4 linked regions of the Stegostoma tigrinum genome follow. The protein of the gene in region 3 interacts with the protein of the main gene of each other region in a biochemical or structural test. Links are inferred from orthologs where the notes say so. Each region holds a gene or a part of one and is shown on either strand. Other genes may lie near its edges.

Evidence for each region.
Region 1: of the proteins of mitogen-activated protein kinase 14 (region 3) and myelin basic protein, one has a biochemical effect on the other in vitro, tested with the Homo sapiens proteins (4 studies listed by BioGRID). The link is inferred for Stegostoma tigrinum from reciprocal best matches to the Homo sapiens genes MAPK14 and MBP.
Region 2: the proteins of mitogen-activated protein kinase 14 (region 3) and dusp10 form a complex in vitro, tested with the Homo sapiens proteins (2 studies listed by BioGRID, with this or other methods). The link is inferred for Stegostoma tigrinum from reciprocal best matches to the Homo sapiens genes MAPK14 and DUSP10.
Region 4: of the proteins of mitogen-activated protein kinase 14 (region 3) and mef2aa, one has a biochemical effect on the other in vitro, tested with the Homo sapiens proteins (2 studies listed by BioGRID). The link is inferred for Stegostoma tigrinum from reciprocal best matches to the Homo sapiens genes MAPK14 and MEF2A.

The regions. Positions count from the first base shown.
Region 1 is NC_081358.1:41,218,785-41,225,930, forward strand, and holds the start of myelin basic protein, read right to left. Parts: upstream 3,001-7,146; 5' UTR 2,986-3,000; coding exon 2,965-2,985; intron 1-2,964. UniProt on the Homo sapiens protein: The classic group of MBP isoforms (isoform 4-isoform 14) are with PLP the most abundant protein components of the myelin membrane in the CNS. They have a role in both its formation and stabilization.
Region 2 is NC_081362.1:53,408,798-53,416,594, forward strand, and holds the start of dusp10 (dual specificity protein phosphatase 10), read left to right. Parts: upstream 1-4,794; 5' UTR 4,795-4,944; intron 4,945-5,240; 5' UTR 5,241-5,287; coding exon 5,288-6,185; intron 6,186-7,797. UniProt on the Homo sapiens protein: Protein phosphatase involved in the inactivation of MAP kinases. Has a specificity for the MAPK11/MAPK12/MAPK13/MAPK14 subfamily. It preferably dephosphorylates p38.
Region 3 is NC_081374.1:27,103,225-27,110,313, forward strand, and holds the start of mitogen-activated protein kinase 14, read right to left. Parts: upstream 3,018-7,089; 5' UTR 2,670-3,017; coding exon 2,554-2,669; intron 1-2,553. UniProt on the Homo sapiens protein: Serine/threonine kinase which acts as an essential component of the MAP kinase signal transduction pathway.
Region 4 is NC_081386.1:13,878,055-13,885,003, reverse strand, and holds the start of mef2aa (myocyte enhancer factor 2aa), read left to right. Parts: upstream 1-3,943; 5' UTR 3,944-4,172; intron 4,173-4,201; exon of another isoform or gene 4,202-4,510; intron 4,511-4,620; exon of another isoform or gene 4,621-4,764; intron 4,765-4,997; exon of another isoform or gene 4,998-5,086; intron 5,087-6,949. UniProt on the Homo sapiens protein: Transcriptional activator which binds specifically to the MEF2 element, 5'-YTA[AT](4)TAR-3', found in numerous muscle-specific genes. Also involved in the activation of numerous growth factor- and stress-induced genes.

The sequences.
Region 1 (7,146 bases), on a different chromosome or scaffold from region 3:
TGAATCAGTACTCTTCCATGTTGAACAATACCTGGAGGAAGCACTGAGGATGGCAAGGGCACCAAATGTACACTGGGTGGGGGATTTCAATCAAGAGTGGTTCAGCAGCAATACTACAGATTGAGCTGTTGGGTCCTAAAGGGCATAGATGCTAGACTAGGTCTACTGCAGGTGGTGAGGGAACTGACAAGAGGGAAAAACATAATTGACCTCACCTTTATTAATCTGCCAGCTGCAATTGTATCTGTCCATACAGTATTGGTATGAGTGACCATCACACAGTCCTTATGGAAACAAAGTCCCGCCTTCACATTGAGAATAACTTTCATTGTGTTATGTGGCAATATCACCGTGCTAAAACGGATAGACTTTACCCAAACCTAGCAACTCAAGACTGGGTGCCCATGAGGCACTGTGGGCCATCAACAGCAGCAGAATTGCAATCCAGCACAATGTGTATCCTTATGGCCTGGCATATCTCCCACTCAACCATTACCATCAAGCCAGGGAATGAATGCTGGTTCAATGGACGGTGCAGGAGGGCATGCCAGGAGCAGCACCAGGCGTACTGAATGATGAGGTATCAACCTGGTGAAGCCACCAAACAGGACTACTTGCATGCCAAACAGCGAAAAGAGCAAGTGATAGACAGAGCTGAATGATCCCACAAACAATTGATCAGATCTAAGCTCTGCAGTCCTGCCACATCCAGTTGTGAATGGTGGTGGACAATTAAACAACTCACTGGAGGAGGAGACTCCACATATATCCCCATCCTCAATGATGGAAGAGCTCAGCACTTCAGTGCAAAAGATAAGGCTGAAACTTTTGCAGCAATCTTCAGCCAGAAGTGCCGAGTGGATGATTCATCTCGGGTTCCTCCAGTGGTCCCCAGCATTACAGATACCAGTCTTCAGCCAATTCAATTCACTTCATGTGATGTCACGAAACGGTTGGGGACACTGGGTACTGCAGAGGCTATGGGCCCTGACAACATTCCAGCAATAGTACTGAAGACTTATGCTCCAGAACCTATTGCTCCCCAGGCCAAGCTGTTCCAGTACAGTTACAACACTGGTATCTATCCAGCAATTTGGAAAATTCACCAAGAATGTCCTGTACACAAAAAGCAGGATAAATCCAATCCAGCAAATTAGTCTGCTCTTAATCACCAATGAAGTGATGGAAGGTGTCATCAACACTGCTACAGAGTAGGACTGACTCAGCACCTGTTTAGTGACACCCAGTTTGGGTTCCACCAGGGCCACTCAGCTCCTGAACTCATTACAGCCTTCATTCAAACATGGTCAATAGAGTTGAATTCCAGAGTTGAGGTGAGAGTGACAGCCCTTGACATCATGGCTGCAATTGGCCAAATGTGGTATGAAGGAGCGAAACTGGAATCACTGGGTATTAGGGGGGCAAAATTTCTGGTATTTGGAGTCATCCCTGACACATAGGAAGATGGACATGGTGTTTGGAGGTTAATCATCTCAGCTCCAGGGCATTTCTGCAGGAGTTCCTCAGGGTAGTGTCCTTGGCCCAACCATCTTCAGCTGCTTCATCAAAGACATTCCCTCCATCGTAAGGCCAGAAGTGGAATCTTTGCTGATGATTGCTCAAAATTCAGTACCATTTGCAAACCCTCAGATACTGAAGCAGTCCATGTTCACATGCAACAAGCTCTGGACAATATCCAGGTTTGGGCTGATGAGTGGCAAATGACGTTCACGCCACACAAATACCAAGCTATGACCACTACCAATAAGAGACAATCTAACCAGCACCCCTTGACATTCATTCATGTTACCATCACTGAACCCCTCACTATCAACATCCTGGGGTTACCATTGACCAGAGACTCCACTGGACTCACCACATTAACAGAGTGGCTACAAGAGCAGCTCAGAGGCTGGGAAAACTGCGGAAAGTAACTCACCTCCTGACTCCTCAAAGCCTGTCCACCATCCACAAGGCACAAGTCAGGAGTGTGTTGGAATGCTCCCCCCCACTTGCCTGTGAGTGCATCCCCAATGACACACAAGAAGCTTGACACTATCCAGAACAGAGCAGCCTGCTTCATTGGCACTATATCCAGAAGCATCCACTCCCTCCACCACCGAAGCTCAGTTGCAGCAGTGTGTACTACCTACAAGATGCATGGCAGAAATTCACCAAAGACCCTCAGACAGCACATTCCAAACGCACAACCACTTCCACCTAGCAGGACAAGGGCAGCAGACATATGGGAACATCATCACCTTCAAGTTCCCCTCCAAGACACTCACCATCCTGACTTGGAAATATATCACTGTTCCTTCACTGTCACTGGTTCAAAATCCTGGAATTCCCTCCCTAATGGCATTATGGGTCAACCTACAGCAAGTGAACTACAGCAGTTCAGGAAGGCCGCTCAACACCACCTTCTCAAAGGCATCGAGGAATGGGCAAGAAATGCTGGCCAGCCAGTGACACCCACATCCCACGAAAAAAGAATCCACTATTGAAATGTAGGAAATACAGCAATTAAAATGCACTTGGAAAACTCTTCCAAGCAGCAAAGAGACTGACCAGATTGTCTATTTTAGTGGTATCAGAAGAAATAATAGGCAAAACACCAAAGGAACTCTCCTGTTTTTCCTAAAAATAATGCAATGGGATCTATTTTACATTAACCAGAAAGAACAAACAGGAATTATTAGCAGCCAAAATTCTCTTCTGCATCAAGGTTATCTTGAACTCAATTTTTTTACTGACTGCTGCAAATTTGATTTGCAACAAACCCCAGACATTTTTCAATACCTGCAATCAATTTTGGAGTTTAAATTGAAGAAGTAACTTCATATTCAATAACATTCACCGAACAATCTTTGGGAACTAGTAATTGTCGTCTACTGAAACAAGCTTAAACCCAAAAAGACTGAAACAAAGCAAAAAAAAATTGTAAGTTCACAGGAGACCTACCTGTAAAGATGACCAGATCATTAGCTTGGAGGCAGATAATCCCCTTCACAAGAGCACAGGCCTGAAAGAACATAACTTTTTACAGATGCTCTTGATTTACATCAGCAAGGAAATGAAGAATGAGTGCTTCTAAGAACCTGAGACATTAGACTGAAATTGAATAAATTAATGAAATTAGGGCAAATGCATGGGCCAGAAGGTACATGTCCCACCCTCTCCAGACGACCAGTTTCAAAATATCTAAAAAAAGATCAGGTCAGAACTGAGAGGTGATACTTAGCAGGGAAACAGCGAAAAGGCTGCAGTCATTTTGTCTTGATTATAGTCTAAGGTGTTTAAAGGTTTTATGGAGAAGCTGTAGAACAATGTTTCTCGTGTAGAAGAAATTAAAACTATAGCTAGAAATATGCAATAGTAACTAATAAACCTTTTTGTTGACTTTCTTTAGCTAGAATTAGGGATGTGGAACTCACTACAATATGGAATAGTTGAAATGAATAGCACAGATACATTTAAGTGGAAGGTGGATGAATACATGAGGGGTAAACAAATAGAATGATATACTGACAGGGTGAAATGAAGAACAGTGGAAAGAAGCTTTATGAGGGTACTACACCAGCACAGACTAGTCGGGCAGAACGCCCTGTTTCTACGTTATACATTCTGTATAATTACTTGAAAATTTTACCACATCTAATGTTACCAGTACCTTATTTTTACAGTTAGGTTGGAAAAGTAAATGGCCTGATTTATGTGCAAATCTGTAACCCATTCTAAAGTGTAAATAGGCGTGGAGCTGAAGGGTCTAGGCCCGAAACATCAGCTTTCCTGCTCCGAAGATGCTGCTTGGCCTGCTGTGTTCATCCAGCTCCACGCCTTGTTATCTCGGATTCTCCAGAATCTGCAGTTCCCATTATCTCTAAAGTGTAGGTGCTCTACTCTTCAATACAACTTTACTGCCTGTATCTCATGCTGCAACTTATTCTGCACTTACAAAACATGAATCATGAATAACTCAACACCCATGTGTCACACAATTGCAATAAAAACTGAGAAAGGTTTGTAGTTTGACCATTTGAACATAGTTTGGCATACTTCAGAATTCCACAGCACAGAAACTGACCGTTCACCTAATTGATCTATGCCAGTCTTCACAAGCCTCTTCTCTTCCCTATTTTGTTTCATACAAGCAGTATATCATTCTACTCTTTTCTCCCATGAATCTATCTAGCTTTCTCACTTGGCTGTTATTGGATGCCCATTTTGTGCTGTGACCAAAGTCTTTCTCTAAACATTTCTGTCATTACTCTATTATATTTTATCCATCAGCCCCGAACCATAAGTGAGGAGGCTATGGTGTAAAAGATGAATAACTATATGTTTGAAAATAAAAAAACTTAATAACATGCAAAGATTACTTGAGATGAATTCAACAGAACATTTGCGAAATGGTGCAATTTAAGTGTGTAAATTTAATACAGTTAAATTTGCGATACCTGGCATGCATCAGGAATTGATGATACCACTAAATCAAAAATGCCAAAAAAACAGAAGGAGGGCTGACTTTAATATCATTCAACCATTTGAGTCCTTTTGATAGGTAATGAGCTTGAAACCATATGCAAGTTCTGACATGCCAAAAGGATCATTTCAGTGAACCCTGTGGACAAAACCTATTGAACTGCCTTACACTGTTTCCCTTCACCAATTGCAGCCAATTTTTTTGGTGTCTGCCTGTGACTGTCTATATGTGTATATAGGGTAAGTTTACTGAGAGTTAGGGTTTTAACTGGTAGAGTTACATGTCAACAGCTCATAGTTGTTCTCGATAAACTCTACTTATTTATAACAAATAGTTATGTTAAATACATAAGTATTCTGTTAAATACAGAAACCTGTCTGAGTTTTCTGTCAACTGGGTCCAAAACACAAGTAAATTGGTGTATTTTGTCAACTTTTATAAAATGTATAAGTTTGGCGATGCCTCTGGGAATAGCGGTGCTTGAGCGTGCTGCCCTAGTGAGGTGTAACAGGGATATCCAGCATCCCTGCGTGATATTCCAAGTTACTCTGGGCCAAGTACAGGAGCATGTCTTTTGCTTGGAGTTGAGCTAGGTGTCAGGTCTCTGAGGTGCCTGAGATGCAGCTTCCTTTGAATTGCAGCAGTGATGTGTTAGTAATGTGCTCACAAGATGGTGATGCTGTATGTAGTATAGGCAGATAACCCAATGAGGTGGAACTCTCTGAGCTGGTGGAGGGTGCATCTGCTGCGGTTTCAGAGCAATCATGTCAGAAATGGTACTGATGGGGAGAGGCTACGCATCTCTTTTTCTTGGCGGTGTGTGTTAACTACTCATACCTGTAGAAGAGAAAGAATAAGTTGGTGAACATGCACAGTCCTTATATAGATGAACATGTGGAACGACACAACTGAGAAGTGCAGTCTATAATCTTCCTTACTGACTTCTCCTGCCATTCTGATCTTTCTATTGACTCAGGACTGGTCACTATCCGCATCTATCACTCTGCTGCCTGGACCATATAAGGGAAGAAAACTCAGCAACTCTGCACTGGTCTTAGCCTTTTCGGCCTCTTGTCCTGCAAGCAGAGAAGGAGAAGGATTGTGTGTCCTTGGTACTGGTGCAGGAGCACTTTATGACCATGTGTCCCGAAAGTAGGCTTCCCACAAGTATTTAGAAAGTGCAATGCCTGGGAAACAGAATACTCAGAGCATAAGGTGTGAGCCCTTCAAAGCAGATCATGGGTAAGAGACTGAGGCTTGCAGGCCAGTGGCTGAGTTAGACTAAGTGATGGCCCTAAGAGATTGATCTTGCAATGAGGAGCACAGGAGACCATTCATGAATGCTGAATGATTTATTTATTGCCACCAGCATTACAGTGAATAATACAGTAAAATTATACAGTGAAAAGCTTCAAAAGTCGCCACAATCCAGCGCCATTTTGAATAGTTTGAGAATGAAAAGGATAAAAGATATGACTGAAAGAGAATCCTGAGCCCTGAGCCGGATCACCAACAATACCTGTGCCACGCTGCCACCTACGCTGGGCCCACCAACATAGGAGTCGCTGCCCTTCCTGTGGCACACTGGCACTGACCCAAGCGCCTGAGTCTGATGGGAGCTGCCAATACTAGAGGACAGCACTTATCTGGGTTCTCTGGATGGCATTGAGCCGAAACCTGATGAGGCTTTCATAAACCTTGGAGCTGATTTGTTCCTGCTATATGACCATGAGTGAGTAGGGAAGGGAGTAGCTGACGCAGGCTCTCTTGACTCTGCAGCTTGGCGGAGATTGAAGGGATGCCTCAGGTGGCTTTTTATGTATACCAGCAGAACCTTCACACCTGGGAGATCCTGGCAGGATCAAGAACCTCTCCCCACCCACCCCATATCACTTACTGTTGACGTCACACTATGACTCACTTCCTTATAAAATGAGCTGAAAAAGGTACAGTCGTGCAAGAAAATTTGCCCTAGGTCATGACAGAATTGATGCTCTCTAAGATGCCTCATGTCCTTCTTTAACTTCAATATGGAAAATCTTGGCTGTGGTGTTTGAAATCAAAAACAGGGTTGAATGAGGTCTGCGACAGCAAGTAAGCACATATAATAGCATTAGCTTTTCACTGTGCTGCTATTATACTTCACAATGGCCGGGTGAAGCTTGTTTTGTTGTCATGACAACACTAAGGTACCAGTTGTCATCAGTACAGTTTCTTGTTTGGCGAATTGCTCCTGGTCATTTAGGGGAACATCAGAGTTTCTGATTGGTGGAGCATCCTGGTTTGTACAGATAACATTTGGAAAATACAAAATTAACTGTATGTATTGAAAATAAACCTTATCCAATTTATGTAATGTTTAATTTACTTGAAATTTCTCACACCTCTATTTTCCCAACAATAATTTGAAACTTACAGCTACAGTCGGCAACTTTTTCAGTTTCTTCATGAGTTTTCATAATTAAGTACGTATCACAATTCTGATGTCCAAGGTACTTCGACCCGTATGAAGGTATTGAGGTGGGTACGTAATATTTCCCTTTCATACGTTAGGCTCAACTGCCAACAACAAATGACGACTGGGAAAACAAAACAAAAACAACTGGTAACAAACAGTGTCAACTTTTGTCAACTGGTCACAGTTTTCAATTAGCAGTGGA
Region 2 (7,797 bases), on a different chromosome or scaffold from region 3:
GCACTTCTGTGAATCTGGTGCATTTGAAGGGTCCAAGGCTGGTTACTGAGGACAAGGGCTATCCAGTGTGATCATGACTGATGACACCATTGCACAACCCCTCAACTGCTTTTACCAGGGCCAAGGTGGCGCAGATGATAGAGCTGCTGAAGATGAGGGTCCACAGCTTGGAACAAGACACGGGTCCACACAGAGTGTGCTGCATCACCCTGGAATGCAGTGCTACGCATAAGTGGAGCAGGTGACAAAGCAATGTGATAGACACTGAGGACCTGAGAGAACAGAAGCAGTCTTCCAGGGTGCAGAATGAGGACATTGGGGAGGAGGATGTGTTCCTTGTGCATGTCAGAGATTAGGTGTGTCAGATAATACAAGTCAGACAGTACCTGATTGATACCCAGTTCCAGTGGATGAGAGCTGGGTGCAGGAGACCATCGTGAAATGTTAAATATTTGCTGGTCATCGTATCAGCATTTAGTTTGCATTGTGGGGATGAACTGCAGCCTCTATTTACTTATATGTGTTTGCTTTTGCTGGATTCAAATTAAAGCTCATCTCTGGAATTGTCTGGTTACTTGCTTTTAAGTGATGTTCTTCTGGTGGGTAACAGAATAGCAGTGACCTAGAGACGGCATTTACAAAAGATGTGGTTAAGAACAGTTAAACTGACCTTTGGTTAAACAAGGACTTGGGTTCCAGGAATAAGAAACTTCAGCTCTAAGGATAGATTGAAGAAGTTGTGTTGTCCTTCTTTGAGAGGAAATTTGATAGAGTTTCAAAATCATAAGCAGCCTGAATAGAGTGGATTGGGAGCAGCTGATCCAGCTTGTAAAAGGAACAAGAACAAGAAGGCTTAGACATAAAGTGACGTGTAATGAAGAAAGGTTGATGTGAGAAAGAACTTTTTCACTCAGCAAGTATTTAAGGTACTGCCTGGAAAAGGGGTGGAGGCATGTTCATTTGAGGTTTTCAAGAAGGTATTGGATGATTAATTGAATATAAATGGTGTGCAAGAGTACGGCGAAAACACAGGTGATTGGCACTTGATAATGATGTTTGTTTGAAAAGCTGGTGTAGGCTAAATGGCGTCCTTCCATACTGTAACTATTCTGTAATTGTGGCTGAGAAGGATGAACTTTATATGTAAGACTGTCTGCCATGTCGGGAGCTGTGTGGCTTTGTGATTGCTGTGCCATTAGGTTGCCAGTGCGGGGGCAACACCAGGTTGCTAATGTTTGCCTGGTGCACAGCAGCCTTGTAAAGATGCCAGAGACACCAGTCTTTCAGCTGATATCCAGGGATTGGCGAGTTCCAGGTGTTGAGATAGGGTTAGAATCCAGCAGGAGGCATGTCACAGCACCAGAGCAAGTTGTGAATGAGGTGATTTTGGTAACACACAGTTAAAGATCTCACCAGACTTCTTGGCAAAAAACTCTCCAAAAACTTGCATGAATGACGTTTTGCCAAACAATGTAATGTTCAGCCCCAAGTTACAATTTTATTGCAGACAAAAAGAATCACAACTGTTTAAACTACAGATCAAGACAAATTTGTTGGGCCATTCAACCTGTTCCCATCCTGTAAATTTATGTAATCTATTTATCTCCAAAATTAATTAGGAAAACATGAATTACGCACTCACTAACAATACAAGACTTTATCACAAAAGGTTCATGTGGCATAGAATTGTTCCTAAAAGTCTATAATTTGAACACATAGTCCGGGGGTTTCCTCCAAGCTGTTCCATTCCACTGGTACAACCTCACCAGAAAAGCAGCATAAACAGGGTTTCTGCCAGACTTCCTACATGGTTATGGAAATGGAGTGAGAACAGCTTTGAGGGAATTACCAACCATAATTTCTCCCTACTTAAATGATTGTGGTTTTTACTGAGAAAGATGATTGATGATTATATCAGATCAAGAATATTATTTACATTTTAAACAAACAAAAGGAAGATTTTCCAAAGCTCTTTTCAGTAAATAACATACTTATAAAATGTGGTTAATGGTGCAATGAAGGAAATAATGCAATCAATTTGCACACAGCAAATTGTGGAAACAGCAATATGGTAACAAACAGATAATCTGCTTTAATGATCTGAATGAGGTATACACATTAGTTAGCCACCAGAAAGAATTCCCTTGCTCTTAACAAACAGTGTCACAGTCTGGGTTTTAGAGGGGTTTTACTTAAAGTCTCATCTGAAATATGACAAATCTGTAGTGTTCTTTCAATTTTGCTCTCAAATTGCAGTCTACATTATGCGCTGAAAGTGCTAGAGTCACACTTGAACCATCAACAAACTTCAGAGGGATATTTTCCTGCTTTACACCTGGTTCTGCCATAGTGGATATTCAGTGGGGGTGACCAGATGGCGATAAAGAAACATGCCTTATTTTCCAACAAAAACTAAGTGTACAGTGCAGGGCTGTCCATATTGCTGGTACATGATCTCCCACCCTTCAGAACAAGAATTTAGCCCTTCAAGCTCAAATTATCATTCAATGGTGATTTGTGACCGACTTTTCATATTCAATTTTGCCTAATATTCCTTCAAATCTACAAAGAACAAAAATCTATCAACATCAGTTTTAAATTTAATATTTATCTAACATTTTTTACTAGTGGAAGGGACTTCCAAACTTTAGAGTGATAGAGATGTACAGTATGGAAACAGACCCTTCGGTCCAACTCGTCCATGCTGACCAGATATCCTAAATTAATCTCATCCTATTTGCTAGCATTTGCCCGTATCCCTCTAAACCCTTTCTATTCATATACCCATCCACATGCCTTTTAAATGTTGTAATTGTATCAGCCTCTACCACTTCTTCCAGCAGCTCATTCCACACACACCAGCCACTGCATGAAAAAGTTGCCCCTTAGGTCCCTTTTAAATCTGTTCCCTCTTATCTTAAACCTATGCTCTCTACTTTTGGACTCTCCCACCTCAGGGAAAATACCTATCAGCCTCTGACACTTCAGGGAAAATAGCCCCAGCCTATTAAATCTCTCCCGACAGGTCAAACCCTCCAAACCTGGCAACATCCTTTTTAATTCTGTTATGAACCCTTTCAAGTTTCGCAACATTTTTCCTTCAGCAGAAAGACCAGAAATGAATGCAGTATTTCAAATGCAGCCTAACCAATGTCCTATACAGCTGCAAAATGACCTTCCAACTCCTGTACTCAATTCACTGACCAATAAAGGCAAGCATACCGAATGCTTTCTTCACTATCCAGTCTACCTGCGACTCTACTTTCAAGGAATTATGAACCATCTGCAAACTTATTAATTTTACCTTCTAGATGTAAATCCAAGATATCAATGTACCTAACAAACAGTAAGGGTCTTAGTTTGTGTAAACGTCTTTCTAAAATTGACTCCTGAAAGGTCTGGTTGGCTCTAATGTTTAGAATGTGATCTGTAGTTCGAGACTCCCACCAGAAGTAGTATCTCTCGCTTACTCTTACATTATTTTTGTTTTGAAACTTTGATCAAATCACCCCTTAAACTTCTAATTTCCGAGGAATACAACCTTGTTTGTGCATTGCTCCAAATTATTTAACACTTGCAGTACAGGCATCTTCGAAATCTATGCTGCATTGCCTTCAAGGCTGCTATCTCTTGTTTAAGGTATGCTTGCCCGGACTGACGGACTGCTAACAACCAACTGACATTCACTACACCCATCTGCTCTAATATGTGGTAAGTAAGAAATCCTGCCTCCTAGTGCATGCAGAGTAAATACAGTTTAGATAAATGTTTTCACAGTAGGAAGAATACTTAACCACGTCGAAACAATTGCACGCAAGAGTTAATTGATCTCCAGTATTACGCTTAACCTTGCTTTAAATAATGACAACATCCCATGTGTTGGTACCGTTCAAGATTCTCATCGTTGTTAACTCAACCATTTACAGATAAATTATTTTAAAGTACCCCACAAGATCTGCCACCGACAATAAAAAGTTTCAAGAATTATCGTTTCCTTCTCGCCATATCGTTTTATTTTACTGTACGTGTTTTTTTGCAGTACTTTTTAGATAATAGCAGTGAATTCATGGCGGGTCCAGTTGAAGTTCTCGGTGCAACATTGGCGGGCTTTTTTGTTTCAATTATCTGCAACATCATATGCTGCTGACGCCAGCTCAATTTCAAGGTGTTACTACGGCTTGGGGAGGAATACCCGGCCGTCTTGTTTTTATTTTGATTTTGCTTTGCCTTCTAGTTTATGTCCGAAATTCCGACCAGAAACACTGTTGTGGAATGTTACGCATCAGGAATTGTAATGAATGATTTAAAACATGAGTGCAATTACTTAATGAATAGTAATATGGCGTGAAGAGGAAAACAAAATGAGATGACTCGGCTGTCCCTTTTCATTAAAACTTTGACTGACCCTGTTGGCACTGACTCTGGGTGCACTAGCCCTGGCTGCATTCATTCTGATTCCATGGTCACTTTAAACTGGTATTGGCTGCATTGGCCCTGGACGAGAAAGAGCCAGCAGCCGCTCGATTCCGGGAGCAGCCTCGCTAGCGGCCAGCCCATTGGCTGCCAATGATGTCATGCAAACGATAACGTCGACGCCCGGCCGACCAATGAAGGTGCGGTACCCGCCCTCTGCCGACGGCAATTGGCCAAAACGTCGGGGAGCGGGTTGCGAAGCGGGTCGAACCTTGGGAATGACAGACTTCCATTGGTTGGACATTCCGTCCATCGACGATACGGCCCCGCCCCCGTCAGGTAAAGGCGAATCGCGTTGTTATAAGAAAAAGTGTAGTTGAATTAAAGCGGCTGTGGCGGGGTAACTAGCTCAATGAGTTGAGAGACAGGGAAAAAAAAACACCACAAATGTTGGGAAGTTTCTCTGGGACTAGATCACTAACGAGTAGACAGTTAAGTCCCAGGAGAGCGGGAGGAGCTGCACTTAGTGATGTGAGTACATTTTTCTCAATGGCTTCTTGCAGCGGAGTGAAGCCCCAGCTCCGCACAAAGTTGTGGCTCAACTTGGACTTTAAATTGCAAGCACCTCGCCCAGAGAATAAGCGGGCAGTTTGTTGATTACTTAAAAAGAAAGGTTGCCCAATGAAGGCGCCTGTGCCTCGAGTTTATTTTTAGTTGCGATCCCCTTCTATTTGCGGCAGAAATAACCAATGCGTGCCTCTGAATTTATTGCTCTCCCCTCCCCTCCCTCTGCTCTGATGCTGACAGTACATTTGATCCCGTTTCAGTCCATTTCCTCCACGGATCGCCAGCAGGGCTCATCAACATCATCCTGATGCCTCCATCCCCTCTAGACGAACGGATTGTTGGGGTGGTGGCATTGCCGAGGCCGGTCAGACCGCAGGAACTCCATCTCCGTTTGGATCACACCTACGTGGCTTCTTCTTCTCTTCCTCCTTCTCGTCCCGGAGCAGCGGCGACTCCGGCAGCTGGCCATCCGAAAGCTCAGAGCCTGGCGGCGGCAGCGGCTCCGCTCCCGTCCCGAAGCGGCAACTTTCCGTATATGCCATCATCTAACGGCTCGGTGCGCTCCCTGTCCTGCGGATGCAGCGGCGCTAGTTGCTGCACGGTGAGCACCTACCCTCCCAACAAGGGCGACCCGGGCTCGGTGGCGGGGGGCAGCCACCTTCTACCAGCCCCGGCTGCTGCTGCTGCCGCCTCCTCCTCCAAACTCAGCTGCCCTTCCTGCGCTGGCAGCCCGATGGTGAGCGGCAATGAGAACGGCGGCTCTGCTGCAAGCCCCCCGGCTGCCGGAGTCGGAGGAACCCCGTCCCCTCCGGCCGCAGCGGCCGTCCGCACCATCCCCCCAGCCGAGCTGGCCAAGAAACTGACCAAAGGCAGCGGCACCAAGGGGCCCCCGTCTCAGAGCCAGGGACCGGTCATCATCGACTGTCGCCCCTTCATGGAATACAACAAGAGCCACATCCAGGGAGCCGTCCACATCAACTGCTCGGACAAGATCAGCAGGAGGAGGCTGCAACAGGGCAAGATCACCGTCCTGGATCTCATCTCCTGCAGGGAAGGCAAGGACTCCTATAAAAGGATATTCTCCAAGGAGATAGTAGTTTATGATGAGAACACTATTGAGCCCAACCGGGTGCTGCCCTCTCAGCCACTTCATATAGTGCTGGAGTCGTTGAAACGAGAAGGCAAGGATCCGCTGGTTTTAAAAGGTAAACCTTTGGAATCTTCCTTTTCATTTAAAAAAAATAAGAAAGTTTTAACGATCGGATGTTTCCAGAGTTTAGGGTAGAGTAGAATACAGCTATAGATATGTTCGTTGCCTTAGCAGTCTGTTCATAAAGCAAAAGTCGTCAGGAGTTGGTAGTAATTTGTAGGCGACACAGCCTGCGGAACTAATTCAGTTCGTTTCAAGGTTCGATCGATTTTAGGCATTTTAGTTACATAGCCTGAACGTGAAGTGCGTAAAGCGATTGACTTTGAAGCGAAGACGGTGACCTGTGTTATTTTTAAATTCTGCTTATTGAATGAAAATGTCTGTTTTGAAATGTCACATTGCAGGAGCGCAGGGCAACATCCTGAAAACGAATACAGTATGTGGAGCACGTCCCTCCAGCTACTGTGCATGACTGCTTTACTAGCACAGAAATTGAGGGGGAAAGAGACCATTAATGATGATTCATGCATGGTCTGCAAATATGAACAACTTCTGAAAGGTCCTGATTACATGACAGACATAATCTCCAATGCAGCATAATTAGAAACATTGACTTAATGATATCGACCTTGTTTCGTTCGAATGCAATGCAGTATATGCATTTTCAATTTCGTTGCAGTAGATGCATCACATAAAGAGTGAGCAGTATAGATGACATTTACAGTAGCCAAGGCAAAACAGCTGAACAGCTGCAGTATTGACCGTCCCCACAAATTGGTGTGGGTTTGAGTCCTAAGGCAGTTTGTCACTCGAAGCTGCCTGCAACAGTTGGGATTAAATTCTGCCAGTTTTAGCCAGGCTGCTAGGTGGAGCACGTTTGCTTGTAGCGTTTGTTTCAAGGACAATGAAAAAGTGATAATATGCCTGTCTGGTCTCACCACAGCATGCTTCCTCTTGTTGGTTAGCTGCAGAACATGATCTGAAAAATTTGAGTGACCTTCAGTGTCAAGAGAGGGGCCCATGTTGGAAAACATGCAAAGGTGCGGACAAGAGCAAAGAAATTATAAGCTACATGATGGAAGAGTGGTTCAATATTTATTATAGCTCTAACATCATGAGCAACAGGGAATACTTTGTAAATGACGAAAGACCTGCTCAAATGCAAACATAATTGGTCACAGGAGATCCAAAAATCATTGTTTTGGTAATAAGAGAGAGAGGTGTGGCCTATTCTGAAGGTTATGCAGAGGTAATAGAAAAAGATTTATTAAAATGATGCCTGAGAATAGAGTTTTAATTACAAGAAGAGAAGGGTCCACAAATAGTGTTGGAGAAACTCAGCAGGTCTGGCAGCATCTGTAGAGAGAGAGAAAGAGAGTTCAAGGTTTTTGAGAAGATTTGTGGCTTGGTTTGTTGATGCGGTTGTTGACCTTGCTCGTCGAGCAAGTTAGCAGTCTCAAAAACGGTAAATGTTTAAGTCCAGTGACCCTTCATCAGAACTGAAAATAGCTGGGGAAAGATTGTATTGATGCTGGTGACGGGTGGAAGAATAGAATATGTAGAGATGGTGCCCAGCGAGAGAGAGTGATGGGGTGATGGAGTGGGGTGGGGGGAGGAAAGAAAGAGATTGCTGAGGATAAGCTGAGAGTGAGATAATTGTTAGGAAG
Region 3 (7,089 bases):
GCTTTTTGAATTTTATATAGGTTGTACTCTAACATTAAAATTTTTCTGCAGTGTCTGTGAATATTTACTGCAACATTTACATCCAAAGGAAACCAAGTGTGATGAGAGAAAACTACTGCTTAATCAATTGCTCTGCTTAACGCACTGCCGGTTTCCTGTCTCCTAAAAGACTTAACAATACTGATGACAGTATTTTGTTCCCACTTTTGTGGGGGAAAAAATGAATTAAATAGCACAGAAACATTTGGCTCAAATGAAATGCAGTTAAGCACTCAGGACAGAATCCTCAAAAGAAAAATCTTATTTCTTTTAAACTGAGGGTTGAAGCATTGATTCAACATTTCATTATTTCAGCAAAATAGTTTTACTGATGTTCGACTAAAAAAACCCATTTCAGGTTTAGAACAGGTCAAAATTAAGAACTACAGTGGCATGTAGCTCTACTTTCTAATTTCTTATTCCCTGAATTTCTTTTCACTTTCTAGTCTGCACTTTAAACTAACTCGTCATCTCAAAATAAGACTGCCAAGACCTATGATAACTAGGTGTGGGGCTGACATTTCGTCTAAGCCTGAAACATCAGCCTTCCTGCTCCTCTGATGCTGCTTGGCCTGCTGTGTTCATTCAGCTCTAATCTTGTTATCTCAGATTCTCCAGCATCTGCAGTTCCTACTATCTCTGTTAAGACCTATCATGGATTTTACTACATTTAATATATCCATGGATTTGCTGTACTGGCAAATGTGTATATGATAATAATAGCAAATAAATGTATGTGCATTCACCACAACACATCACAGCATCTCAGGGCATCATGGGCTGATTGCAAATGATGAAACAACATTACTAGACAAGCTGACTTATCAACTCACCAGTACCATCCAGCAATGTGACCCAAACACCACCACAAGCACATTAAACAGTACCCCAAGAAATGCCCTGCCAAATGGATATTGGATCCTTCAGCAGCTGTCACTCTGAAAAAAAACTACTTTAGATGGTGCTCATCATCATAACCAATTGTGTGAAAAGAAAGTAAGTGACTAACACAAATGAGATATCATGCAAAATCAATGCCACAGATAGAGAAGAAATCTAATTTGCAGGCAGAACTAATTTGTCATACTCTTTAATTTCAGTTAAACAATGCATTAGTTGCCCACAATTAGCTTCCCAATGTTGCAGTCAAAAAAATCACTTAAATTTTCGTATTTCCAAAATGAAAACACCCACGATCTGCTTCTGCACAGCGACTTGTTAAGTTTAAAATACTCAGTATTGACACCCAAGCTTCTCAAATCAGAGCGTTGGTAGAACATCAGGACTATTTCAGCCACTGACCCAAGCAGTGAAGGGTATTCTTTTACTTGCATGATGAATATTGTAGACAGATAGGCATCTATCGGAAGCGTAATGAAATCAATATTTGTGATGCTCAGCACTCGCGTTTACATATATATGCACATTTTCCATTTGTGTTTCTGTTTGTTCATAAGGAACCTTAGAGGGTCAACAATCTCAAACTTGACCAAATTTTGTCACTCATCTTTTCACATTTTTTCAATTGGTAGAAATGATCCACCTCATTTGTATAAGTCCTTCCGCAACACTACCCAACTCTGTAAGCATCTAGTTCCATACTCCAGCCGTCATTGCTGCAGTTAGGCTCCTATTGACCCCACAATTCTACTCCACTGCTAATGGTAGCATTTCATAGTTTTAAACAAAAGCCGTTAGCGAAGAATGTGAATTTAAGGCTCACGTTAGGTTGAAAAGGATCGCAAGATTCATATTTAATACTCATATACAAAAATAAGAAACTATCCAAATTGTGCAAATCATTAAGTTATAAACTGCTATCAAACTACTCGTTATTTCAGTACTGTGCCTATATGGCGAAGCAAGCTACAAAAGGGTCGAAAGCAATGCCGTTCAACAATAGAATTTAGTCAATAAAAGTATTCCCATGAAAATGAAACTTGCAACTATAAATGCAATAAAGAGCAATTATTGTGGTTAAGAGACAATCGCTGTATCGACTGAAAGGATTAGACATGCTATCAATATACCACAGGGTTTAGAATCAATCCACAAGGGAAACTGATCGGTTAAAATCCAATGGCTTTTCTTAATAAAAACCGGAATTAGAACTATACAGTAAACTTTCACTGCTGCTTTACCCCTTTTGTTGCACACGGTAGGCGGCCTCAACAGTGGAGAAAACCAATGCATCATGCAAAAAGTTACTGAGCAATTTGTTTTTGACTAGAGTTGAACACGTTTTGTCAAGCCCGCTTAAAGATTTTGCACACAGAAAACGTTAAAAAGTGCAATGCGTGCACCATAGCGTGCGGGAGTCCCAATGAAACAGACGCCAAACATCCTAATGGCTCATGAAGAAAGTGCGGGCCTAGCTAGGCCTGCAGGGGTGCACAGCTGGCAAGGCTGCTTGCAGCTCTTGCACAACTTTCCCACAACTTGGGGCAAAAACAGAAACCTGTGCGCGGCTCCGGGAAAAATTAAAATAATTGAAACCAGCGGCGGCACACGTACCAGACGGAGCCGTAAGCCCCAGATCCGACGGGAGAGAGGTTCTGGTATCTCTCCGGCACTTCCCAGATTGTCTTATTCAACTCTTGCTTGTAAAAGTGCGGCCTGACTCCTGACATTGTGCAGGGAGGCTGTTCTCCTCTCTTAGAAAAGGGGAGGGTCGGAGGTGGTTGAGGGAGGCGGGTGGACGGAGAGAGGAAGGGGAAGGCGTCAGGGTGCGGAGAGGAGTTGCTGCAAAGAAGAATTTAAAATTTTGAAAGAAACCGCCCGTTCCGTATCTCAAAAACGACTGACTTGAGGAGGTGGGCGGGGCTGTTATGTTACTCCTTTTTACAATCCCGATGTGGAGAAAGTAAAATCCATTCAAATGAAGTGGATCTGTAACATCAACACCCCCCACGGGGAATGGCATCTGACACCCGACGGCTCGAGCTGCTCCACTTCCCTCTTCGGACGCGCTGGCGTCATAGGCCCCGCCCACAGCCGCGCGCCCTTATGCGCGCGGTATGGTTCGGTCATTGCGTTATATCATTCGCCCACACCCCGGGCGTCGGCGGAGCGCGGATAGACGGGCACGCGGCTCCGTCCTCCCAACGGCCAGTGCTGTTGTTCGGCCTCATTCGTGCCTTTCCGTTTCGCTGCTCACTATCCTTCCGTTGTCGGCTGCTGTATATCGAACGCTTGCGTTTTAATAGAAACAAGAAGAAATTGCAGATGCTGGAATCCAACGTAGACAAACAGGAGGCTGGAAAAACATAGCCGGCCAGGCAGCATCTGGAGGAAAGGAGTAGTAACACAGAAAGCCAGGCAGTATAGTCTAACATGCCACTGACACTGTGGAGGTGCCGCTGAAAAATGATTTGTGGCAGAGACAGACAGACAGGCACAAGAGCACAAACGACGCATTGAGTTATTGCCCGCACAGGTGCAAAAGGATAGCTGTTAAGTTGTGAATTTTAAATCTGAGGCCGATAGGTTTTTGTTCGCGAAGATTGCCTGGGACGATCGCAGATAAGATAACAACGTTTAGGGGGCATTTACACAGACACACAGTCAGAGAATAGACAGATGAGATGAGTATAGAATGGAATCATGGTCAGCACAGACTTGATGGACTGAGGCATGTGTTCTTATGTTACATTGTTGTATGTTCTATATATTGAGGGTTAAGGGACTAGGTCACTGAACCAGACATGGCTTCATCTATAGGCTTACTAGGCTGAGGTGAATTTGATTGCCTTTTCCTGCCCCTATATAACTTTTATAGTCTAATTTTGCAAAGATCAGTTGCTGGATTGAGATTAATGAATTTATAGCAAGCTGCATTAGACGTACCTGTATGCAAGTATTACTATATAATATATAAAGACTGGATGTCATATCGAACACTTGCCATTTTATATTTTTATTAATACTCTGTCCTACATTTCTATTGTGGATTCATTGTAGGTAGGGTTGAGAATAAATACAGCACACTTACAATTCCCTACATTTAGTGAGACAATATAAGTAAGCATGCACACTGTTGGAGAAACTGATGATCATCTGGTGTAGTTTGCATCATACTGCAGACTGTCTGCAAGTTTGAATTCCTGATATCCAAACTGATAGGTCCCGCACCCCGCACCAGTTGTTTATGTCTCCTACCCAAGATCATAAATCCAACTGACGACCCATTGTCTCTGCCTACTCCGGCTGCATTGAGCTCACCTCCCACTATCTTGATTCCATCTTTTCCCCTTTGGTCCAGGAACTCCCCACCTACATTTGGGACAATCCACACCCTCCACCTTTTCCAAACCTTTCAATTTCCCACCACCCAATACCTCAACTTCACTGTGGGTATGCAGTCTCTGTACACCTGTTTTTACCACAATAATAGCCATAAAGGACTCCACTTCTTCGTCACCTGTAGGGCCACACAATCCTCGTCCACTGACACTCTCATTCACCTGGCAGAACTGGTCCTCACCCTCAACAATTTTCCTTTGACTCCTCCCACTTCATGCAAAATAAAGGGGTGGCTATGGGCACTGACATGGGCCTGATTTATGCTTGCCTCTTTGTAGGATTTGTGGAATAGTCCCTCTTCAGCAATTACACCGGCGCCATCCCCCATGTTTTTCTCAGTTATATTAATGATTGGTCCTGCCTCATGCTCCCGGGAGGAGCTCAAGCACTTCATCAGCTTCGCCAGCATCTTCCATTGCACACTCAAATTCACTCGGACCATTTCTGGCACCTCTTCCCCCCCTGGACCTCTTCCTTTCCATCACCAAATAACCAGCTTACCAATGACATCCAATTCAAGCTCATTGACTCCAACATTTACATCTCCACTCGTCCACCCTCCTGCAAAAATTCTATCCCATACTCACAATTCTTCCACCTCCACCACATCTGCTGCCAGAATGAGGCATTCAACTCTAAGACTTCCCAGATATCCTCTTACTTTAGAGACTGTAGTCTCCCCTCTCCTCAGGTCAGGAGCTGAGTGGACCTGGCGGAACCCAAATTGGGCGTCACTGAGCAGGTTATTGCTGAGCAGGTGTTGCTCGATAGTACTGTCAATGACACCTTCCATCAATTTACTGATGATTGAGAGTAGAGTGATGAGGTGGTAATTGGCCGGGTTGTATTTGTCCTGTTTTTTGTGTACCCCACATTACTGGGTAGAAACCAGTGTTGTAGCATTGCCAGAACAGCATGGCTAGAGGAGCAGTAAGTTCCGGAGCGCGAGTCTTCAGTACTATTGCTGGAATGTTGTTTGGGCCTGTAGCCTTTGCAGAATCCAGTGTCCCCATCCATTTCTTGATATCACGTGAAGTAAATCGAATTGGCTGAAGACTGGTATCTCTAATCCTGGGAACCACTGGAGGAGGCCAATATGGATCATCATTCAGCACTTGTGGCTGAAGATTTCTGTGAATGCTTCAGCCTCATCTTTTGCACTGATGTGCTAGGCCAGTGTGGATGGTGATTTTTGTTGTCCCTACTCCTCCAGTGAGTTGTTTAATTGTTTGTCGCCATTTACGAATGGATGTGGCAGGACTGCAGAGCTTAGAACTGATCTGTTGGTTGTGGGTTTGCTCAGCTCTGTCTCTCACTTGCTGCTTCCACTGTTTGGCATGCAAGTAGCCCTGTTCGATACCAGGTTGATACCTCATCTTCAGGCATGCCCTCCTACACTTTCCATTGGACCAGTGTTGATCCCCTGGCTTGATGGTAATGCCTGAGTTGTGGATATCTCGGGCCATGAGGTTACAGATTGTGCTGGAGTACAATTCTGCTACTATTGATGGCCTATGGTGTCTCATGGAATACCCAGTCTTGAGTTGCTAGATCTGAATGCAGTCTGCCCCATTTAGCAAAGTGATAGTGCCACACATCATAATGGAGATTATTCTGAATGTGAAGGCAGGATTTTGTCTCCACGAGGACTGTGCAATGGTCACTCTTACCGATACTGTCATATACAGATGCAACTGCGGCTGGCAGATTGGTAAGGATGAGGTCAAGTGTGTTTTTCTCTCTTGTTGGTTCCCTCACCACCTGCCGCAGTGCCAATCTAGCAGCTATGTCCTTTAAGGCCCGACCAGTTCGATCAGTAGTACTGCAGCTGAGCCATTCTTGTTGTGGACAATGAAGTTCCTCACCCAGAGTACATTTTGTGCCCTTGCTATCCTCAGTACTTCCTCCAAGCGTTGTTCAACGTGGAGGAGTACTGATTCATCAGCTGAGGGAGAATAGTACATGGTAATCAGCAAGAGGTTTCCTGAAGCCATGAGGCTTCATGGGGTCCGGTGTCAATGTTGAGGACTCCCATAGCAACTCTCTCTTGACTGTAACCAGTGTGCCACCACCTCTGCCGAGTCTGACCTGCTGGTGGGACAGGACATTTCCAGGCATGGTGACGGTGGTGTCTGGAACATTGTCTGTAAGATATGATACAGTGAGTATGACTAAGTCGGGCTGTGTCTAAACGATCTGTGAGACGGCTCTCCTAACATTGTCACTAGCCCCCAGATGTTAGTGAGGAAGACTTTGCAAGGTCAGCAGGGTTATTTTTGCCATTGTCTTTCCTGGTGCTTTGGTCAATGTCAGGTAATCTGCCCAGTTTCATTTTTTTAAGATGTTGTACCGACTGGCAGAGCTGAGTGGCTTGCTAGGCCATTTCAGAGGGTAGTTGAGAGTCAGCCACATTACTGTGGGTCTGGAGTCACATGTAGGTCAGTGTTAAATGACAACAGTGAATCCACATGAACAAGGGAATTTGCTGCCAAATCTATTAGGCTGTGAGGTGCAGAGTCCTCGACACAGTATTAAATTATGCCCTTCTCAAGGTCGACAGGGTTGCTCTTGTCGTCTTTTCCGACATCTAGGTCGATGCCAGGTAATCTGTCTGGTTTCATTTCTTTGAGACGGTGTAGCAATTGGCATAACTGAGTGGCTCGCTAAGCCATTTCAGAAGGCAGTTGAGAGGCAACCACATTGCTGTGGGTCTGGAGTCACATGTAGGCCAGTGTTAAATGACAACAA
Region 4 (6,949 bases), on a different chromosome or scaffold from region 3:
TAACCTTAATCACTTAGAAAAACAAGGACAATAGCTGTAAAATCCCCTTCAAGTCACATACAGTCCTGAATTGGAAACATATCGCTGCTCCTCCACTGTTGCTGAGTTGAAATCTTCGAACTCCCTTCCCAACGGCAAAGACTACAGCAGTTCAAGAAGGCAGCACAACATCTCCTTCTCCAGGGCAATTAGAACAAGCAGAAAATGTTGGTCTAGCGAGCAATGCTGTAACTATGAATAAATAAAAAACAAGTTTTGAGATTCATGCGCACAGTTTTATTGCTTTTAGTTTGAGTCTAATTGTTGGTGTCACACCAAGCACAGGGTAGAACACACCAGGTGACAACATTCATGTTCAAAAGTGAATGACTTCTGTGGCCAGGGGCGTGCAATGAGAGTTGGTGCTAGGTCTACTGTTTTTTGTCATTTATATAAATGATTTGGGTATGAATAAGGGAGTAATAGTCAGCAAGTTTGCAGACAACACCAACATTAGTAGTAGCAGAGAGTGAAGAAGGTTATCTCAGAGTACAAGAGGACATTGATCGGACAGCAAATGGGCCAAGGAATCGCAGATGGAGTTTAATTTAGATAAATTTGAAATGCTGTATTTTCGTAGGACATATCAGGGCAGGACTTATACACTTAATGGTAAGGTCCTGGGGAGTGTTGCCAAACAAAGAGACCTTGGAGTGCAGGTTCATAGTTCCTTGAAAGTGGAGTTGCAGGTAGAGAGGTTAGTGAAGAATGTGTTATGTATGCTTACCTTTACTGGTCAGAGCATTGAGTATAAGAGTTGGGAAGTCATGTTGCGGCTGTACAGGACATTGATTGGCCACTTTTGGAACATTATATGCAAATTGGGTCTCTTGCTGTAGGAAGGATGTTATGAAACTTGAAAGGGCTCAGGAAAGATTTACAAGGACGTTGCCAGGGTTGGAGGGTTTGAGCTACAGTCAGAGGCTGGGGCTATTTTCCTTAAGTGCTGAGGATGAGGGTGACCTTATTAGAAGCTTATAAAATTATGAAGGGCATGGATAGGAAAGGTCTTTTCCTAAATGAGGGGAGTCCAAACCTAGCGGGCATAGGTTTGGAGAGAAAAGGGAAAGATTTAAAAGGGACCTAAGGGGCAACTATTTCATGCAGAAGATGGTGCATGTATGGAATGATCTGCCAAAGGAGGTGGTGGAGGCTGGTACAATTATAACATTTAAAAGATACCTGATTGGGTATGTGAATAGGAAGGGTTCAGAGGGATATGGGCCAAATGTGGGAAAATGAGAAAAGATTAACTCAGAATATCTGCTCAGCATGCACGCGTTGGACTGAAGGATCTGTTTCTATGCTGTACCTCTCTATAACTCCATGATAGATGGTGAGCATTTATTCCTGGATACAAGGCCCACATGTTGCCATGGAGACAGTCTTTGACAGGGAAGGGGCTAAGGTATTCCAGAAAACTCAAAGACAAGGTTCGTCTGCCAAGAACTTACAGAGGGACAATAGCTCTCGGCAACAAGATACTGTGGTTCACTACACAGGAGTGGATGTGGGAACTTGTGCTAAGTGTAAGTACAAAATTCATGAGGAGTTGGAAGGCTCACCTAGCATGTGCGGCAGGAGGAATCTCTGAATAAATCTCACTCCTGAATTTAAAAATTTCCAAGATGGGAAATGAAAATGACAGAATTAAACCCTTGGGGCTTAAGAATCACCTTGGGCTGATTTGTGGAGAACTGGGTGTCCACCTAAAGGACAGTAAACTTGTGAAGTGTTTGGTTGTGCTGAAAGAAAAAGGGATATGTTCTATCTTGAAGTTTATCTTTGTCGGTAACTTTGACTTTAAAGTATTTTCCAATAGACTTTTTGTCTTTTGTTGTAGTAAAATGTCTTAAAATGCTGCATTTTGATCTGTTATGTTTCAGCAGTAACTGGAAGTTTCAGTTTCTTTTTAAAAGCAATTGGTCAGAGACCATGACAATAAAGGAAAACTGGACTAAGTGTGGCTCTGAATGTAACTTAGCTCATGGTGAATGATGTCATGCCTGACTGAAGCCACAATAATCTTCCCACTGCTTTTGTCAACCAAAATACCATTATCATATGAACAAACCACATTTTGCCCTTCTGTTTACTCCTCTGCCATTTGCTTGTTATTCAAATAACTCACCAATTCCACTTCTTACTGAATACCTAATCCCTAAACTTGACTTCATATTCAATTTACATTTTCAGATACTCACTCAAAGCCCAAATTGTTTATAACACTCACCTTCAGCTCCCTTGATCCCCAACTTCACAAATGTGATGACAATACCACCACCCTTCAGAATTCTCCCCACCTACATCTCTGCCTTCTTTTGCATCCAGGCTTCCCATTGCTAGCACTACCCTTAGCTTTGACCCATGCGCTGGAATTCACTCCAAACCTCCTGCCTGCCTATTTATCTTCATGAATCTCCTGAAAAACCTACATCTGACAATGCATTTGCAATTAGAGTTCAATTGCCTTCCAATCAGCATGGTCCTATCGCAGCAATGTTGCTTTCCCTTTCCATTGGTATTTCTTGCAAATTGTTCTGATGAGTGCAAGTTGAAAAGCCTTGACAAAATGTACTCTCATTAGAGAGGTTTAAGCCCTTGGGTGACCCATCCTCAGGTGATGTAAGGGGGTTGAGGAGAGTCCTTCATGATAAACGCAACCAAAGTGTAACTGAACCCACACTGCCGGCATCACTCTGTACCTTGATCCAGCTGTCCAGCCAACTGAGCCCCTTCAATTTCAAATGTGGAGGTGCCGCTGTTGAACTAGGTTGGACAAAGTCAGAAGTCACATGACACCAAGTTATAGTCCAAAAGGTGTATTTGAAATCACGCGTTTCCAAAGGACTGCTCTGACATTAGGTCAAGTTAAATACTACCAAAGGACTATTTGAAACAAAGTTGGCCAACATTATATTTATTTCAAGACAAAACAAGTCTCATGCAGGGAAGTGGATTTTCCAATGCATCCCTTTAAAAACTCGATACAATTAGTGTGGCATCTCACAAACGGACACAATGGAATTTTGTTTCAATTACACCCAACTGACTCTGGGCTTGTCTGATTCTGAAAGACGTTCACAGCTTTTGGAGCTAAAGTTTCTTTATAACAGTTTCCAGAGGCAGAGTTGGTTTGACATGAACACATCCGGCCTCAAAAAGTGAAGTGTCAGCCTGAACTTGACTGTCTCTGCATTCGTGTTTATAACTGAAGTTTTCCCCAGACACTCCGGCCAAAGCACACAGTTACACTCCAGAGGACCCCAACAACAGATGCATAAATAAGTAACTGAGTGAGTAAAAACCAAGCTCGCACACCCCACCCTCTTCCTCAACAACCAGCTCCTGCGCTGCTCCCGCAACCAAACCTCACTCCCCAACGCCCAGCTCAACCAAACCCTACACTTCCTCTTCGCCCATTGGCCTGCCCTTCAAGCCAACCAGTTTACTATTGGTTGACTGCCTGTCGGTCAGTGTGCACGTGGCCAACCAGAGATTGGGACCTGCCCTAACGGGACCCGCCCACGCACCCCCTCCCATGACGTCAATAGCAGGTAAGGAGAATTTAGCCCCAAGCTGGGAACATTCATAGGGTCCGGGGGGGGGACAAGAGCACGCCATCTCGGGGTGTTCACCCCTCTTCAATCCAGCTGAAGCAGACTGAACATAAAAGAGCGGATTTTAGGGAGACACACCACTAAACGAGGGGGATGGATGTGAAATCTCCACAAGGGGGGTGTTTGACGTCAGATCATTAGACTGCTGTGTGCTACTCCGCGCTGTGCTGCGGATCTGGGAGAAAAGTAGGCCCCCTTTGCTGTTCTTGTGGGGGTGGGGGTGCTGGGGTCCGTATGCATCGTGGGTCTGACCTGCCAGTACCCTGGGGGAAGAGGGGGTTGGTAATGTGGAGGGCTGGATATTTGGCGGCGGGGGTGGGTGTTTGTGTTTGTTTCACTTTTCACGCACCCCCCCCCGTCAGCCCGCCCCATGTCCTGGGTGGGCGGAAGGATAAAGGAGGATTGCTGCTGAGAGCGAATGGGCAGGTCTGTCTGTGGGAGACTAAAAATAGCAACATTGTGTCTTTTTGATACAATTATTCATTTCGCGGCTGATACAGTATCCTCTGAGTGGTGAGTAAAAATAGCAACATTTCTGCTTCCCTTAGCCACCCGAATGTATCTGCTTGGCAGGGAAATTTGAGTTTGTTTGAAGTGGATTATTTGCCTTTCCAGCCCCACAGCAAATGACAGAAACAGCAGCAGCACCAGAGCTTTCAGGGGTCTGACTGGATATGATAGCAGCGTGAATAATCCTTTGCAACCTTTCAATTCACTTTTATTTTAATATATATATTTGAAAGTGGATTTTTTAAAAAAGAAATCTATATATTGAGCCTTGGCTGTTTCCCCTTCCCTCCCCAAACGTCTTCATCTTGGCCTTTATTTCTTGAGGGGATGTTACAGTGGGGGTGAGTGGCTTGATCTGTTATATTAACCCGGAAATATTCTGGCATGCTTGTTCTTATTCCACCCCCACTCCACTCCTTCTCCCCAACCTCACCTCCATCTCTTTTTAAAGGATTTCTCTGATTAAGGACAGGAGAAAGCAAACAGTTGGAAGTGTGCGGCGACGTACAAGATTTTTTTTATTTTTTGAAAAGTTTGAAGCTGGATTGTTAGGCCCACAGACTCAGAGTCAGGATTTAGTGATTTTTTTTCTGTGGTAAGTTCAGTCAACTTTTTTTATTGACTGCCAAAACATGTTTATTTTGAGAATGGTGTCTGTGTTCTTCTAACAAACTTTCATGCGTTATTTTATTTTGGTTGGTGAACTATTCCAAGTGTTGTGTAATTGTGGACCCCAAGTTGTGTTCGTTCGCATCTTTAGTCTACGGATGGATTAGTAGAATCACCTTCGTCCAGAGTCGATTAATGGCTGTCATTTGTATTCTGAAAGGAGCCATGAAAAATGCCCTGTTATGAAGTATCCATCCAGTTTCCAAAACATTCAATTGCGTGTGCAGGGTCGAGGGGTCTGGCTGAAGGTATTAATAGTGCTAACGTTGAAAATGCAAAAAATTGTTTAGTGTGCGAATGAACAGTAGGATCGAAGTCCTAGATTAACCTAATAGTTTGACAGCTCAGCTTAGTCATCACTAAGGGCAGTTAATTTAATTTCAAACTGCTTACAAGCAGTCTGAATGTGAAGTCTGTTCACCTATTTCGTCAAACATGTTTCCGCTGGTATGTTCAGCACAATTTATTCCCTTGAACTCCTTCGGTATATTTGAAGTATAAAATACATTATAAATTCCATGAAGCATTTATTTTGCATGAGATCCGAGGTACACAATGTTTCAAGAATATTCCTTGCGTGGACTTTGCAGTTGTTATAAGTGGGTTTCCAGCTTCAAAAACAACTTTTTAACTGTTGTCTGAAAAATTGGGCAGCTAAAAGACTATTTTGGATTCTTGATGGATGGTGTCATGGCTTGTCCAAATGTGTTACTTGATACATTGCCTGTTTGTCGTGTAACACAGTATTGTGAAGTTAGTGATCAAAAGTTAGTAAGATGGCCTTTTAACCATCAATGATCTCAACTTTTATTTTCTGTTTGGGTTTGTCCTTTGCGATTGGTTAAATATGGTATTATGCTGCAACAGTTTTTCAATGGAATGGATTGTAGCTTTCATTCTCTAATATTCTTGTGTTTATTGGGCTAGGTGCTGCTCTTGTCGGTTTTCTAATATGTAAATTATGACCAACTATAAATTGCATTATGTAAAGGGATCAACCATACAGCTTTGATTGTCCAACTGTACTCAGTACTTTGTACTCAGCTGTACAAAGGTGCAGCATGCAAAATTGCAATTCCTGTGATGTGCTTCAGATTGCAAAATACATTCAGATTTCTTTGAGTTTGTTCAGTGTTCCTGGAAGTATAAGCAGTGTGGTTTGCATAGTATTAGCTACAATAAGGCTAATTTCTCCATTCAATTTATTCATGAAGTAGAATGTTGTTTGGATGTAAGAAACTAATAGTGAATTCTAACCTTGTGTAGATCAGTGGAAGTATTGTGTAAAGATGTGTTTGATCAATATTACCTTGCTTCAATAATATGTGTTCCTTGTCCTTCAACACATTATTATGATGTAACAGCTCGTTTTGCCATGAATCCTAAATACTAGCATCTGTCGGGTTTTCTTTTTAAAGTAGCTAGTTAAATTGAGAAAAAGAAGTCAAAGAAAAATTTTTTTTGTGCTATTTGAGAAACAGTTGCAGAAAATTCATCATTCACTGAAACCTGGATGTAGGATAGAGCCTATAGGTCATGACTGAATCTTGTTGTCTAGATTCCATGCAACTACAGTGTGAGAACTGGGAAGAATTCCAGCAGAGTAAATAATCTTGTTTGAATTTTTTTTATTAAGAAACTGACTGGGTATTATTTTCACTTATGGACTGGAGTCTTGTACAAAAAGCAATATATTTAAAATATGTGTAAGGTGTAGAGTTTTAAATCGTTTGGTTGTGAAAAATGTTCTTGTTGTTTTTGGGGTGTTTTTCTTAGCCATATGTATGTCTTCAATTCTATATACACATTTACATGTTGACATTACTGATGTTAATTTTTTGCATGTTGTTTGTCTTGTGAGCTCTCTTGGGATGTGATAGTTGCTACACAAATGCATATACTTATTTACTCCAAACTGTAGTCAGTTGTGAATGTTTGATGTGCGTATACACTGGGGGGTGGTGGTGGGGAGACAATTGCAAAATGCTTTCTACTAATTAAAAGTGCTTAAGAAATTAAGTTGTGTTTATAAATATAATTAACTACTGTTTTTGGAAGGTTGCACAATTTTGCTGATGTGATGCTTGGACCATCTGGAAGATTCAATTATT